Linked DNA regions of Rhinolophus ferrumequinum. The protein of the gene in region 1 interacts with the protein of each later gene in a pairwise test. Links are inferred from orthologs where the notes say so. Each region holds a gene or a part of one and is shown on either strand. Other genes may lie near its edges.

What was found. The genes of interacting proteins can lie anywhere in the genome.
Region 2: the proteins of FNDC11 (region 1) and GPBP1 interact in binary tests that used the Homo sapiens proteins (3 or more experiments, as listed by UniProt). The link is inferred for Rhinolophus ferrumequinum from reciprocal best matches to the Homo sapiens genes FNDC11 and GPBP1.

What each region holds. Positions count from the first base shown.
Region 1 is NC_046306.1:484,860-492,963, reverse strand, and holds FNDC11 (fibronectin type III domain-containing protein 11), read left to right. Parts: upstream 1-4,512; 5' UTR 4,513-4,573; intron 4,574-6,101; 5' UTR 6,102-6,104; coding exon 6,105-7,085; 3' UTR 7,086-7,301; downstream 7,302-8,104. Other genes in the region: tyrosine-protein kinase Srms, read right to left, coding at 217-581.
Region 2 is NC_046290.1:35,787,280-35,795,569, reverse strand, and holds the start of GPBP1 (vasculin), read right to left. Parts: upstream 3,685-8,290; 5' UTR 3,024-3,684; intron 1-3,023. UniProt on the Homo sapiens protein: Functions as a GC-rich promoter-specific transactivating transcription factor.

The sequences.
Region 1 (8,104 bases):
AGCGTGACTGCCATGTTGGCTGCCTGCCTGCCTGCCAGGGCATGCACACACGCCACCCAGCTGACCAGCCGCGGGAGCTGACCAGGGCACACAGTCGCTATTATCCGTGCAGCCCACCGCGTGCTCGTGCTGGACGTGCGTGAGCTGATGGCTGAGCGGCAGTGCCCAGGCTGAATCCTGTGCTGGTTCCTGACTCCCACAGCAGGTGGTACTCACGGTTGGTCTGAGAGCGTGTCAGAGGTGGCCCTGGCCACATACGCGATGGGCACGAGCCCCATGCTGGGCTGGCCGGAAAGCCTGCGGGCAAAGATGTAGTCACCCTCCTCCTTGAGGGCATAGAGCCTGTCCCCGCGGGTGACGCTCAGCTCGTCTGTGCACCGCGCAGTGAAGTCGTAGAGCGCCCTGAAGAGCTGCCCAGGCACCGCCGGGGGTGTGCAGGGCTCGGCAGCGGGGGCCTCCAGCTCAGCGTTGGTGTCAGAGTCTGGGAAGCCAGAGACGCTGTCATCCGGCGTGCCTGCGGGCCAGATCTTGTCCCAGAAGAAGGACAAGAAGGACAACCGCTTCCTGAGGAAGGGCTCCATGCTCCCGGGGCGTCCGGAGCCCGGTCACCACACTGCGCCCAGGGCCCTGCAGGGGAGGGGACTTCTGACGAGGGAGAAACTGGAAGGGCCGGTGGGACGGCAAGTGTCAGAGCTTCGCTGAGTGTCAGAGTCCATCACTGCTGGCAAGGGGTGTGGGTGACAGGTACTCCAGAGGGCCCCCTGCTCACTTCTGGGCTGTTCAGACCGGGTTGGGACACAGGGTGGCCCTCCAGCCCCCAGCCACATGTCAGCCGCTGCTCTCCTTGACCTCTAGGGTGTCTTGTGGGCAGGACTTGTCCTGGGCTGCTCAGAGGCACTTGGGGCTGGGGCAGGAGTGGCCCTGGGGCAGCCTGGGGGTGGGGTCTTGGGCGGCTGGGAACGTGGGACAGCCCCCTGCCTCCCCAACATGTACCCCTTCCTCAGGCCTAGGAAGGAGGGGGTGGCTGTCCTGCCAGGCGGCCAGTGTGACAAGGGGAGAAGGGTCATGCACAAGCGCACGCCATGCTAGCCCGTGACCTGAGTCCTGCCCTCAGAGGAGGGGTTCTATGAAGGGGCAGCACCAGCCAGTAGCTGCCTAGCCGTGCACTGGACTTGTGTGGACAGTTACCTGGTTCTTCCAACGTGGGCCAAGTCTTTAACATCATAAACACCCCCGTGCAGGACAGCTGGAGTTTCTTATGGGGTGGGGCTCAGTCAGCACAGAGCGGTGAGGGAGGAGGGGGTAAGTTCAGGGCCACCCTGGGGAGGAGGCTCTGACCTCTGACCGCCCTCAGAGAGATGCGCTGGGTGATGTGGGGGTGGCGGGTGAGTCCACGGAGGGCCTGTACCCACCACTTGCTCCTCTCCCCGGACCGCACCAGGCCCCCTGCACACTGAAGCAAGCTGCCCACTGCCCAGGTCAGCCTGTGCCGCTGGGCAGGGCGGGAGAGCAAACCCAGGCCGCCTGGTCCTGGTTCCGGATCCAGGAGGGGTTCAGGGCGGGTGTCTGGGTGTGTGGGCGGTTCCCAGCCCCAGGTAGCTTGCTCCTCCTCCCCCCACAGCAGCCCCTTCAGCACCGGCGTCATTATTGAGCCCACATCCCTCTTCTGACGACTGCAGACCCTCCTTCCACACCCCACACTCAATCAACGCCCAAACGTTGTCACGTTCTGTGAACGGGCCCGACAGAAGTGACAAGTGTCTATCCACCTGCCCCCGAGAGGCAGCAGACCCTGGTGTCTGGAATGCACCCTGGGGGCCTCCCTGCCACCGTTGGGGGAGCAGCTTGTACAATTTGCAAACTGTGACGTGGCAGCGACAGCCACCCACCATGGGCTGAAGGGGGCAGGGGTCCGAGGGGCAGGCTCCATGCAGCTGAGACTCATCCTGTTGCAGAGGATCAGGGAGCGGGGTCGGGAACAAACATTTACAAACACAGAATTAGGGGAGGCCTGGCAGGGCCTGCAGTGCCCGCCTATCACCTGCCTCCACCCCCCACCTCCCCGTATGAGCAATTTGGGTTTTTACAGATTGCTTTCCTTAAATCCCAGACGTACCTGACTCCTCCTAGGAAGCCCCTGACCCACCGGCCAAAGGGAGGGCCCCACTTATGCTGGCCGCGCTCGAGGTCAGCATTCAGATCCTGGAGATGCCCTGTCCCTCAGAGCCAAGGGGTCTGGCCTCTGGGACTGAGGACATTGCTCTGATGGTCAGAGCAGGCAGGGAGAGTCCTCCTCGGTCTTCTGGCGGGGCCCCCTTAGCCTCACCTCCTCCATGGGCCCTAACCAAACCCAGGGCTGGGAGCTAGCTATGTGAGGGGGAGGGCCCCCGGACAGCTCTGGATGTGGTCGGATGACCAGGTTCGAATCCTGCTGTCAGACTCACTAGCCGCATGGCAAGGTGCTGAGCGCTCTGTGCCTCGATTTCCCCATCTGTGAGAGCACTGAGCTCATAGCCATAGTGAGGACTCAGACCAGGTCTGCAGGGTGAGGAGCGGCCATCCCGGGCATTCAGGCTGAGGTTGGCAGTGTCCCCACACCATGGCTTCATGTGTGTTCTGTGGAGGGCACACGATCGGGTCTCTGGGGTCCAGGTGCACCCCTTGCCCCCAGGGCTATGACCTCACGACCACCAGGCTCACCACCCTCAGGGCGCCGGGTCTGCCAAGGGCAGCAGAGCCCAGTGGCTGCAGACAATGGGCGAGACAAAATCAGCTGGCCCATGCCTGGGAGGAAGGGCCCACTAAGAATGCACGTGGCCGGCCCTCGGGAACTATGCTGAGCAGAGAGGCTGGTCCTGGGGGCTTCACGCTGCACGATGCTACGAAGGCTCTCCAAAGGACACAATTGCAGAGATGGACCAGACGAGCGCTGGCCAGGGGCGGAGGAGCCCCAGGGTTGGGGAGAAAGTAGGCGCGGCTACAAAAGGCCAAGTGGGGGCCCTGTGGGGACAGGGCCGTCTGCCTGTGGACTGTCAGTATCACTACCCTGGTGGGATCCTGCTTGGCAGTTCTGAAGAAATAGGCAACGGGTTCACGGGGGGCCCTGTGTGACGTCTCACAACTGCGTGCCATCTACGATTACCTCAAAATTCAGAGTTTAATTTAAAAAAATTAGCGGATGAACAAGAGAGGAAAAGGGCGTGGGGCCAAAGAGATGTCAGAGGTTCAGGACACGCCTGGCGCCGAGAGGAAGTGAGAGCTGCTGTGGGTGGAGGGGCTGCAGTCATCTTCCTCCCTCTGCTTTGCATTTTCCCCCTTTCAGGTGCCAGACTCCCCCACTCAACCTTCAGACAGCCCCCCCCTTCCAAACAAGCCAACCCTGCCCCTCAGGGCCCCAATGGCGGCAGCAGCTCTCGTTTGCTAAGTTAGGGCCCAGGGCGGGGCGAGGAGGGCAGACACAGCCCCACTGGCTCCCTCCCCAGGCCCGACCTGATGGGTGCCTGGCCAGGGGACGATTCCTCCCAGGATGGGGTCCCCTGGTGGGTGGGGGTGCACTGGGGGCAGCTCTGGCCACAGAAGAGTTTGTGAAGAGAGCTCAGGGACAGACGCCCATCCTGGAGAGGCCACCACTCACCTCCGAAGGGGAGGAGACGGGTGACCAGGGTCAGCCCTGCCACCTCAGTCCTCCCCCGGAGGGCCAGGAGTGCCTGGGGTGTTAGGCTGCCCACGGCCGGTGGCAGACCCTGGCTGGCCCGCAAGGTCCCAGAGGTCCAGAGCCCAGTTGGAAGTGACAAGTGGGGCTCCAGAGGCGGAGAACACCTCTGAGGAGTTCCCTGGAGCTGTGGACACCCCGTTTGTCCAGAGCCGCGTCAGGGGCACTGGCGTGGGCAGGCCGAGGAGAGGAAGGGTGCTCTGGCAGAGGCAGGGCTCCTGATCCTGCTGTCAGTTCACATGGTCACAGTCTCTGGCAGCTCCACCCAGGGGTTCTGGGCAGCGCTGGGCCGGAGGTAGAGCAGGGGCGTCGGCCCCCACCCGAAAGCCTGGCAGAAGGGCTCCGGGCTGGGTCCCCAGCGCAGAGGGGTGGCCGGCCTCAGTTTGCTCCTGTCGGTGGAACCCTACTGCAAACCTGGCTTTCAGACCATGGCGGTGGCTCCCAGGTCGGGCCTCTGGTTGCGACGTCCGGAGTCCCCAGAAAAGGGAGCAGAGTCTATGGACAGTCCCCTCCAAGCTGAGACTCGGTTGAGAGGAGCGGTTCCTTTCGTGGAGGTTCTGGGACCAGAAAGCCCGGCCATGGCCGTCTTTTCGCAGCCCCTCAAGTCTTGGGACCCGACAGGGCGGGTCTTCCCCCCACCCCCGATGCCCTGGGCTTCCTCCCACCTCCTGTCCCCCCAACCCCTCACCCCCACCCTCTGCCCCATCCCCTTTCCGGACCCTCTACGGCGTCACAAAGGCCCGCGGTCCCTATGGCAACCCGCCGGACAGCGCAGTGCGCAGCTGGGCTCCCCGGCTCTGCGCACAGTCAAGCCGCAGGCTCTGCCCGCTCCGGAGGCAGGGCAAGTGGGTGCGCTGGAAGGTGGGGTACGGGCCTGCGGAGGCTGAGGGAAGTGGGGAGGCGGACAGGGGGTGGGGGAGGTGGGAGTCGGTCTCGGGGAGGTGGGCGTGGCGGGTGGGGGGGCGAGGGGTGTGCAGGGGCGTCAGGAAGGCGGGGCCTCTGGGGGGCGGGCCAGGGCGCAGGGTGGTGTCTTCCCATTTTCCACCTGGGAGACTGTTAGCGACTGGAAACATTCTGACCTTAGCCAGATCCAGGAGCAAGAGTTCCTTCCAGAGGCCAGAGCTGGACTTAGGCCGCGAGTCCTGGGGTCCTGGTCTCGCCTGACTCCCCACCCCAGATACCCTCTCTGCTGTGCCCAGGGCCTGGTCTGGCTACCCTTCCCCAGGAAGGTCAAAGGCTGGTCTTTAGGGAGGGAGGCAGACTCCCCGACCTTACTCTGCCACTTGGCGGTGCCTTCTTGGGCACGGCACCCGACCTACGGGCTGTCTCTGTAATCCATCCAAGCCTTGGCTTGCTGGGACAACCTGAGCTCTCCCAAGTGAAGCCGCTGGTCCCTGGGCATGGCGGGGACCTGGGAGAGGAGCCAGGGATGCTGGCTTCTTGTTCAAGGAGCCCCAGCTTGCAGGGCCAGTCCTTGTGGACTGGCAGCTTGCCCCAGCTGGGCCTAGGACCACAGCTGCATCCAGCTGTGACGTGCCCTGAGGTGCACTGGCCCCTCCCACTGACACCCAGAGCTGGGAACCTGGGGGGCAGGGAGGCATGGCCCAGAAGGAGGTTCAGGCTCTGGGGTCAATGGCAGGGCTCAATGCCTGGACTGAGGACAAACTCGAAGCATTTTAGCCTCGTGCCCCATCTGTGAGACGGAGTGACAGGATCTTACAACCTCATGGCCTTTTCCTGTGGAGTCAGTGAGCTCCTGAGGGCACGCGAGGCCCCAGGACGTAGCAGGGGCTGGGTAACTAGGAGCTGGCATCGTGAAGATCCTGAGAGCTGAGGCCTGGGGCCAGCCTGCCGCCCATGCCGGTCCTGGTCACCACGGGACTGCCTGCGGGAAAGCCTGGCTCTGCTCTGTACCTGCGGTGAGGTCTGGAGGGTCTGCAGGCAGTGGTGTCCCCGGGATGAGGGGGTGCCTGGTGCTGCTCAGACAGATCACACTGCTCTCGGGAGCCTGAGCAGCACCATGACCCCATTTCAGATGAGGCACTGAGACCTTTGCCAGGCCACACAGCTGCTCGGCAGCTGCCTGTGTGCCCAAGTCACTGTGGCCTCAGGACTCAGGGCCTCAGCCTTGCCCTGTGTCCTTACAAACAGCCGTCAGTAGTGTTTGCCCCTCCATGCCTACTGTCTCCCAGACTAGCAGACCGCCCTGTCGGCCCTGCAGGCAGCCTGTTCCGGAGAGAGGTGTCCCCATAAGCTCCTCCCCCTGAGAGGGACAGAGGGCCTGGTGTAGGGGGCACACACAAACACTGCCCCGGGGGAGCCGCAAGGGGCAGCAGAGGACAGCCTGCTGGTCCCAGCTGACACCCCACCCTCCACTCCACCCTCCCAGACGATGGATTTCCAGGTGACAGGCCTGGACCTGGACAAGAGGCAGCCGGACAGTCCCCAGCGCTTCCTGGACCAGGAGGAGGCCGAGGAGGCCGAGGACGGGCAGCTGCTGGAGCCGCAGGCATGGAGGACCTACATGGAGCACCGCACGGCGCTGCGGGAGTTCCTGACCTCCCAGCTGAGCCCCCAGCTGCTCAGGCGCCACCATGCCCGCGTGGAGCTGCTCCGAAGGTGCTCCTACCACATTGAGATCCTGCCGAAGCACCTGGCCCTGGGCGACCAGAACCCACCACTGCTGCCCCACACCATCTTCCAGCTGGTCGACCCCTGCAAGTTCCAGCGCATGAAGAAAGTGGGCGCCGCTCAGGCCAGGATTCAGCTGCTGCTGCTCGGAGACCTGCTGGAGCAGCTGGACCGCGGCCGCGCCGCGCTGGATGCCCTGCTCGAGTCGCCTGACCCACGGCCCTTCCTGGCGGGTTGGGCGCTCGTGGAGCAGCGGCTGGCGGGCCTGTCAGCCGTGATGGATAACTTCTTGGCAATGATGGTGCCTGGGCGCCTGCACATCAAACACCGCCTGGTGTCTGATGTCAGTGCCACCAAGCTCCCCCACATCCGGCTTCTGCTGAGCACCAAAATGCCCGTCATGTTCGACCGCAAGGAGTCGGTGGCCCACCAAGACTGGGCCACCCTGCGCTGGTTTGTCACCATCCAGCCGGCGGCCCCAGAGCAGTTTGAACTGCGATTCAAGCTGCTGGACCCACGGACACAGCAGGAGTGCCTGCAGCGTGGCATCGTCCCTGTGGCCACCTGCACCTTCGAGATCCATCACCTGCTTCCCGACCGCGTCTACAAGTTCACGGTCAAGAGAGCTGAGAGCTACACGCTGGTGTATGAGCCCTGGGAGGACAGCCTCACTCTGCACACCAGGCCGGGGACCCCCGAAGGGCTGGCCCCCAGTCTGCTGGGCAAGCCGGGCCACCCCTGACCACAGCTTCCCAGAGATGATTTTCTAATATTTATCCATTAATAAAGAGCAATATAAACACACAATTATAGAAACAAAAGTTCTAAAGGTGGAAGCAGCCACATGACTGCTTTCTGATTTGGTGCAGCCCGCCCACAAGACCCAGGACCCCGTCAGCCCCTGGTCCCTTTTCCAGGGGAGACCCAAGCTGGACCTTCCAGAACAGCTGACCCCTGGAGCAGGCCAGGGGCCAGGGATTCGGGTTTGTGCTGGGTCATACGGGTCCAAGCCAGAGGTCAGGCTGGAATGGGAGTTCGCCAGGGAGGTGCATCCAGGCACACCAGCAGGGCCTTCCTCGTCTTAGTGCCTCCGGTCTGCGGCCCAGTTTCACACCCTCACCCAGAACGGCAGCTGCCCAGAGGCCACCGTGGGGCCACGCAGGTCCCCTTCTAGGAGCAGCTCCGAGGCCCGCTTCCTGATTTGGCCTAGGCTGAGCACTGGGCTGTACCCGCCCCACCCCAGCTCACCTGCCTCACTGTCCTGAGACTCACCTGCCGCTCCAGCGGCCGCCTCTGTGCTCAGCTGCCCTCCTTCAGTCCAGCCCTGCTTCCTACCACCCCATGTGCCTTCTGGGCTTCAACACCCCTTCCTCCAGGAAGCCCTCCCTGACTCCAGGATGATGTGGTACTGACTCTGCCTCAGGCGCCTGCTTCTCCTCTATTCAAGCCTTTTCACAAGATAATGGTCAAGTTTCTGAATGCTTCTGTGGCTGCCCTAGAATACACCTGCTCTTCCAGGTAGGGCCATCCGGCTCACTCCAGGCCAACAGTGAACACACAGGACACGTGGCCCTGGGGACCCCTTTTTCCCTATAATGTCTCTCTGCTCTCTGTGACCTCCTGACCTATCTGAGACCCCCTGCTGCCACTTAGAGAGGTCAGGGCCCAGCCATGCCTTCCTCTGTCCAGCTGGTAGCTTTGGAGGCATTGGGGGCTCAGCCACAAACCAGCAGATGCTGAATAGCCCAGGTCAGCCAGCCT
Region 2 (8,290 bases), on another chromosome or scaffold:
TGCGGGGTGCGCTGGGAATGCATCTCTTTCCACCAACCTACTTTACCTAAATACTAGTATGCCAAATACATGCCCCTAAAGGCTGCTGAAAGTAACAACATCAAGAGCTAGCTATAGTTTAGATTCTCTGGCCAAAAGAGAGAGACTATGAGAAGAGATTTGAAACTAAAGGCCAAAAGATGAGTTAATAGGTTACTATTCCCTCAGTCAAGGACCAAGCTAGAATAATAAATGAAATGGGGAAGCATGGCATGAATGGTATTTCAGGTAATGCCATTAACAGAAACAAGCGATAGAAGAAATTTCAGAGACTATGATAAATTCTGCTTTGACATGTAAAATTAAGCAAGATCTTAAAATACTGGAATAAAACTTTATACCTGTATTACACTTCACAATTAACAAAAATCCTTCAAATACATTACTTCCATCATTTTTATGAGGAACTAAGGCCAAAACAAGTTAGGCCCTTTTCTAGATATTCCAAATATTAAACCAAAAATCTTTCTAACTCCCAGCCATTACCTGTTTTCTACATCACTACCCTTACCTAAACATTTTTATTCAAAATTAAACAGAAAAGGTGGTTGGATCAAACACAATTAGATAATAATCTGGCCTGGGTTTAGGTTCTATCCTCATTTGCTAATTTTACTTTCAGACTAGGCGCTCCCATCCGTATTCCCTTCTGTAACTCTATAAATTTTATTTTCTTTCTGTTCACTCATATTCTTTCCCTATTATTTCCCATTACTATTATTTCCCGATTATGCCCCCTTCCACAATTCCTGAAGTATCAGCAGCTTTAAGCACAAAAATTCGTGTGTATTAATTTCAGTTCAAAAACAGAAAAAGTAAAACAAAGCTAACATGCTTCATACCTGTGTGAAGAGGTGCTGGGTGAATGGGATCTGAATATATAACCTGACACATTTTAATTTTTACCTAACCAAATATCACGCAAATAGTTACTAACAAACAGCAAAACCAACAAGTTTCTATCCTTCAGCTTGTCTCCAAGTTCCACTAGTAATCAGTATTAACCAAAGAGAAACCGTATATGAAAAAAACACAAATATCAGAGATAATGTTCAAATAAAATGAGTTAATAAAGTAAAATCCACAAAGCAGTGCACGATATAGTGATTAAGAGTATGGGGCTTGACGATTTGGTCAAGATTCCAACCTAACCTTAATCCTAACAAAATTAACTTTCTCCCAATCTTAATCTCCGCTAAATCTTAATTTCCTCACCTATATCACTGTAACTGTAATAGTACTTCCCTCGTATGATTATTGTAAGTTTAAAATATACCAAGTAAAGTACACATTAAAATACATGACACAATCATCACATAAATGGAGTCATTATGATTATTATTTTTAGACCTATAGTTTTACGGACAGGAGAAAAATATGGGAGAAGGGGAGATAAAGAGGAAAAATAGAGAGGTACTTATAGGGGAGAAAGCAGCAGCCCAGCAATTGTTCCAATTACTACTGGTACTATATATTTCAAAGCCAAGAAAATAATATATATCAGAACATTCAAGTAAATCTGTCCTTGAACAATTGCAGTAAGCAAAGTTCACAAATATTCTATTCAAGGATTAAAGTTAATTGTTTAAAAACTGGTCTCTGGAGTCATCTTTATCTTGATACTACCGCTTGTGGTAATAACATCAACACGAGCAATTTAAAGAAAAATAACCAAAAATAATAAATATTACGTGGTTCTTTTCTATAAAGACACTCATTTCCCATTTCAACTTCTTATCACATTTAAAATGCATATTCTTAGATAAATAACTTTAAAAGCCATTGAGAAATATGTAATATACAGACTCCCGAAGCAAGGGGCAGAGGAGAATGTCCTCACATTTTTTATATAAATCAAGGTGGAAACTCAATTTAAAAGTACTACACACAGGTTCTGACAGAAAAACACAACTCACCATTTTAACAGAATTACTGAACATTCTAATCTCAGTTTTAGATCAGAAAAATGTTATATACACATATCGAAATAACTACATTCTTTTGGATTCTACTACCTTCTCCGCTCTAAGTAAGTGAAAGAGGATTCTACAGTATAGCAAAAAAAAGGCTGTTTCAAAATAATGACGACTGACAAGTTATCAGGTCATCTTGGCAAAGTGTTTCGAAAGTTATGTTTTATCTCAGGTAATTAAATAAACTCTAATTTTAGCCATGTTGATGTATTCTTACCAACAGTAAGTCCTTAAAAATAAGTTTTAGTGAATTTTTTTTAAAACATTTTACTGAATGCCTGTGATTCACTGAAAAACTAAATGTAGTAACTAATGGCAATTAAAAATACCATTCAATCCAGAAAAATACAATTATTATTAAAAGATAATTCATTTGCCAAAAGGATTTCTATATAGCAATTAATTTCACTATTTTAAAAGCTTGTTTATAAACTTAAGGCAGCATAACTTCTTAGGAGAAAAAGTACCCTCATTTTTTAAGTTAGTCTAAAACTTGTTAATGCATCTTGCTCAGTTCCTCTGTTTCTGTTCCTAGTAATGACTTGGCTTTTTGGAATTGAGATCTTAAGGATAATTTGAAATATAAACCACTTCTACAAATTGTTTCAAAAATTTAATTTCTGTGATGGATTAAAAATGTTAGCAACAGTTATGCCTTAAAACACGGCCACTTTCATGAAATTATCAGATTAAAAACCAAGCACTATAATTTGTTTCAAACATTAAATAATTTGTTGGGTTTTTCCTACCAATCTAAGAATCCATAAAGCCTAAGATGAATAATGAACCATATAGACTTTTTTACTTTAGGAGCACAACAACTTAAAATTTGAACTGTTTGATCTGCAATGTTCTTAAATTTTAACTTTCTGCATTTAAATTTACTTGTTTTCAGACTGTCCAGGAATCTGAAGCCAAGCAATATTATTGCAAGAAACTGAAAGGCTTCCAAGAATAACATAGGATAAACTTGACTCATTACATTTACAAATGATCATTTGATTTGCTCACCATATAGTACTTACAAATTCCAATAGGACTGCACAGGAAGGTGTTGAGTTTTTCTCTGTTATCTTTATGTTTTCCAGTTGTTTTTTTATTTTGTATCCCTCTGAAATAAAATCCAAGTTCTTCGAAGATACTCAAGCTATGACTATTTGACATAGAGTTACTTCAAGTCAGCTACCCATACTTCTGTTTAAAGTTTCATATGGCTATCTCCAGAATTAGCCAAGTTCCTTAGATTTAAGATTATCACGTCTTTATTATTCATGAACTTGTCACTGTTGTACTTATCCACTCCAGATGAAATATCCAATTTATGAGCCAAAAAGCAAAGACAAAAAGAAAATTTCACATCTGAAGAGCATTCCTAAGCATCAGCATATACCGAGACACATAGCTATCTCAATACTACCATGCTGCTGGGAAACTGCAACATCTTAAATTTCCACGTAAATAAAAGATAAAAGGAAAAAAACTCTGTATTCTTTCAATGTCTTCATTTAGAAAAGCTGCCCCCACTGTGACATGAATAGGGCTGAGGTCAAAAATTCCTAAAACTTTTAATAAAGGTAAAAATAATTGCCATGAAACTTCAGCAATATTTAAACAGTAATTTGAAACTGCTGAAACTACTCAGTACACAAATCAAACATATCTTACAGTTTTGGCTGAAGAACACTAACAAGAGGGAGGAGTTGGGGAAAGGCAAAAATACCACCAGCTGAACACTTTAAACCAGGTATATCATCCGTTGAACCAAAATACTAAAAATGACTATGTTTCTTTTTAAGTAGCTTGTTAGAACTGTCACTACTATGAATTCACTTCAGAGATGATTCTTGACAATTTTAATAAACTTCTGGGGCAAAATTATCCAAAACATTGTAATTCCAAATGGCCACTTGAATATCCGGGCCTTTTACACAAAACCTAGATGATCTTCATATCTGAGTAATTCGATCACCTGTAAAAGTTATAAAAAACAAAAAACAAAAACAAATTACACACTGAGTTTTAACTTTGAACTAAAAATTAACCCCCATCTTAAAAAGTCAACCTCTGGAGAGAAATTCACTTCTGTATACTACTACTTGGGTCTGAAAAAAAGCTACGCCCAAGCAGGACCCAAAAAAGTCTACTGTAAGAAAAGGACTTCAGAATGGGGGTGGAGGAGGGATGTTATGGGAGGCAAGTATTAATTTCAACTGGGAAAGGGTGCGGATAAAATACAGGGGATTATATAAGCAAACATTCAAACCTTGTTATACTTTTTGAGTAGATATTATAACTATGAAACTGGCACACAACCTTATGAAAGGTCTCTATTCAATGTACCAAGGAAAATGAAGACAGGTGTGGTGCCACCAAACATTAGCTGATGAAACTTAAGAGAATGAGGAATATAAAGAGTAAGACGCTCCCTCCAAATTAGGATGTCTAAAAGAGGCACATTTTCCCACACGAAGGGCAGAAGTAGGTGGATGAGAAGTGGGGCAGGGACATTCCTTAAATTTGCCTGAGGGTAAGATTTCCCCAGCTTCCGAGTGCAGCAGGATAAAGGTGTCGGCTCCCATTTCTTTCAATTAAGAAAACAGGTTTCTCCCAACACTGAGGGGGTGGAAGGTACCGAGCTTTCTCGTAAACCACGTTAAGAGTGGCTCTCTCCGAAAACAGAGCAGGTCCCCTCAAGACCCCACAGGGCTCGGAGGGGCAAGGCAGCAGCACTCGATTCAAAACAGCTAGTGCCACGGACCTGGGAGAGGCGGGGAGAGCGGGCGCGCTACTGAAGAAACAACCCAAGGCCACAACTCGGCCTCGATTCCCTCAGCCCTCGGAGAGGGGTAGTGGTGCCAGAGGAGGCGGGGCGTGCGCGCGAGGTAGGAGGAAGACCGAACACGGAGGGCGTCGGACCCGTCCCAGCCTCCGCCAAACACCCCCCAGCCGCCAAGGCTAAGCCACCCACCTCCTCCCCACAACCGCCACCTCCGCTCCCCCGGAACGAGGCAACACCTAAAGGGGCCTCCCGGTGCCGTCCTTCCCTCTGTCTCCTTGCTCTCCGCTCCCTCCCCCAGATCCGCGGGCAGCCCATACCTCGCGCCGCCAACGCCGCTCTAGACCCCTCAAACCCCAACGCCGACACGGGCACCCTCCCTCCTCCCCCAGACTCCGGCGCGAAGCACAGAGGACGATGTTACCTTCTGCCACACCAGAAGTGCCCCTGGCCTGGGGGTGCCGCTGCGCTCGATCCCGAGAGGAGGTTTTCGGTACTTTGAATAATCCCCCTTTGCCGCTTTTCCCTCCCCCACAACCAGTCTCAGTCCCAAAATGGCGCCGACCCGATCCGCAATGTTCTGGGCCAAGTCTCGCGAGATGGTGGATGGCGAAGCGGGGAAGGAACTAAAGAGGTTGAGGAGAAGGGGGAGGAAAGGCGGGGGCGACGAAAAGAAGGAGGGAAGAAAGGGTGTGTGCTAGTAGAAGCGGTGCGAACAAACCTACTGGGCGGGGCAGCAAGGAGGAGCGCCTCCACCAGAGAACCTTCTGGCCCAGGCAACCGCTCACGCCCCGGCCAAAGAAGCTCCACCCTCTACGTAGGGGCGGCTGGCGGGAGGGAATGAGGGCGGGGTTATGTATGGAGGCGGGGCTCCGAGGAGGCACTGGAGGCCAGGGCGCGCGGGGGGCGGTGGCTCCGCGCGGTGACGTCAGGAGCAGCTGGAGTCGGGGATTACCCCCTGCTGCTGACGTGAGGATGGTGAACAATCGGGAAAGGTCGGTGGAAGGGGGAATTCCCCGCCGCTCCCACAGGAGCCCCTCCTCCCTCCCTTCTCCCCCAGCCCCGGGCCGCCCCGCAGCCTGAGATGGTGGGGTTGCCCGAAGGGCGGGAGGGGAGGGCTGCTCCAGGAGGCAGCCGCGCGGGCCTCAGTGGCGCGCGCCGCGGCGTCTACCCTGACTCCGAGATGCCGCGGCGCGCGCCGCTCGCCAGGTACGGCGCTCGGGCCTGGGCGGATGAGAGATCACATGCTCGCCTCTACACAGCCCTGGGCGGGCGGAGCGCTAGCCGTGCTGGCGCCGGGCTAATTGGGTGCCTGAAGCAATGGATCCACCGTCGTATGCAAATACGAGAGCGTGTCGGACATAAATCATATATACGGGAGGCCAGTAGCTGAGGGATCGAGACTCGCTCGTTGGGAGCTAAGCCCAGATTCTCAAAGGATAAATATGGCTGCTGGATATAATGGTGCTAATTATCATTTTTTATTTGTATTAAATCTACAGTAGCTGACAATTATTTCAACAGTGTCTCAGTCTCACACAGCCCGGGCGATTTTTAAAATGAATTTTGTACTTACAGTTCTCTGATTGCGATACCTTTCGCGTTATAACTGAAGTCTCCCTTTAAAACCTGTGAAGTTAGCCTTACAAGAGGAAGAAAAGTAGCTACGTATATGTGCTGAGAGGGAATGTGAGGGGGGAGGGTTTCTTGAGGGAAAATGCAGAAAATAAAAAGTACTTGGCTCTTTGCTCTTCCCCAAGCCACAAAGGTTTCATACACAGAAACTTTATGATCCTTTTACATGCATTATGGGGTTTGCAGTTTAATGGATTACTAAAACCTCTTGGAAAGAATGGTTGAATTTACATACACTCACCAAAAATTACACCTCCCAATCTTATTTTAGTCGTCATGGGAGGTGGACACTTTCGCTGAGTGCGAAGGAAAGAGAAGTAACACTTGCTGAATGCCTTGTCCTTGCCAGACACTTCTTTAATCCTAAATCAATCTCTTAAATGGGTGTTATTTTCCTCATTTTGCAGATGAGGAAATTGGTCAAGTCGAGTAATGTCCTTGAGGTGGTTACCTAACATGCAAGTTGGGTGCCACAATTTTCCTGTACCAGACAAACTCAAGTATATTTGGGTCTTAATCCGCTTACTTTCAACCGCACCACATTGCTTCTGTAGAAGTAACTTAAGTATTGGGACAGGACCTACTTCTGCTTCTATTTCTAAGCAAGATATTAATTAAAGAAACAAAGGAAAATATTGATAATTTGAACACATACAAATTGTGCTCTTCCTATGGCAAAAAACAAAGTTAAAAAACAAATACAGCAGTGAAATGGAGAAACAATTGTAACATGTATGACATTTTAATATTTAATTAGATATACTTGGTTACTATTCTTAATATCTAATGTTTGATTTACATGATAAGTATATCAAGAGCTCTTATAAATCATTAAGAAAAAATCAACTTTTAAAAAGTAACGGGACATGAACAAGCTAGTCATGTATTTGTCAATAATTATACGAAAAGATGCTCTACCTTACTCGAAATCAGAAAAAAATTAAAATAAAACTAACGATATACCACCTTTTAACCTAGCCAATTGGCAAAGACTTAAAAAGAATAAAACCTAGATGAAGGTATAAGGAATAGGCATTTGCATTATTCATATCAAGAATCGAAATCTGTATAGCTTTTCTGGAACAGTGTGGCTTTCATTTAAAACAAAAGTCATTAAAATAAGATCCCCTTTGCCCAGCTATTCTATATCTTAGAATTTATTTTAATAAAATAATAGGAAAGATGTCCAACAATTTATAAAGATACTCACTGATAAATTGCTTATAACTACAAAAAATTGGAAACAATCCAAATGCCTATAAATAAAGGCACTGGGTAAATAAATAAATTATGGTACATCTATAGATAGACTATGAAGCCATTAAAAATGATGATGTACTTTTTTGTAAGAAAAAAAAAGTCACATGAAAAGATGTTCACAGAACACCGGTAAGAAAAATAAGAGAAAAAAAAAGCTAGAAGAAAAAAATAAGAGGTAGGTTACAAAACTGTCTATATAATGTCCTATTTTTGTCAAATAAAAAAGTATATATCAAAAGGAAGTCTGAATAGGTACAAATGTTACCAATGCTTATTTCTAGGCGGCAGAATAATAGAGGATCTTTGTTCTTTGTACCTGTTAAGGGCCTATGTTACTTTTCTAATTAAATACAAGAACCTGTCTCCAACCAGTAACATGTTTTCCCTTAATTCGTTTTAATTCATTTAGTGAAATCTAAAACAAGGATTTATCGTATAATAGATTCTTTTATTAATGAGCATAACATTTTGGTAGTTTGAAAGAAGAGGACATTTTTTTAGCCAAACTCATACGCAAGAATTTTTAATGAAATAAAATAGTTTGATAAGTCTCTCAAGGTTTTATAGATATTAGCCACAAAGAGATTACATAACTTGCTCCAAAATA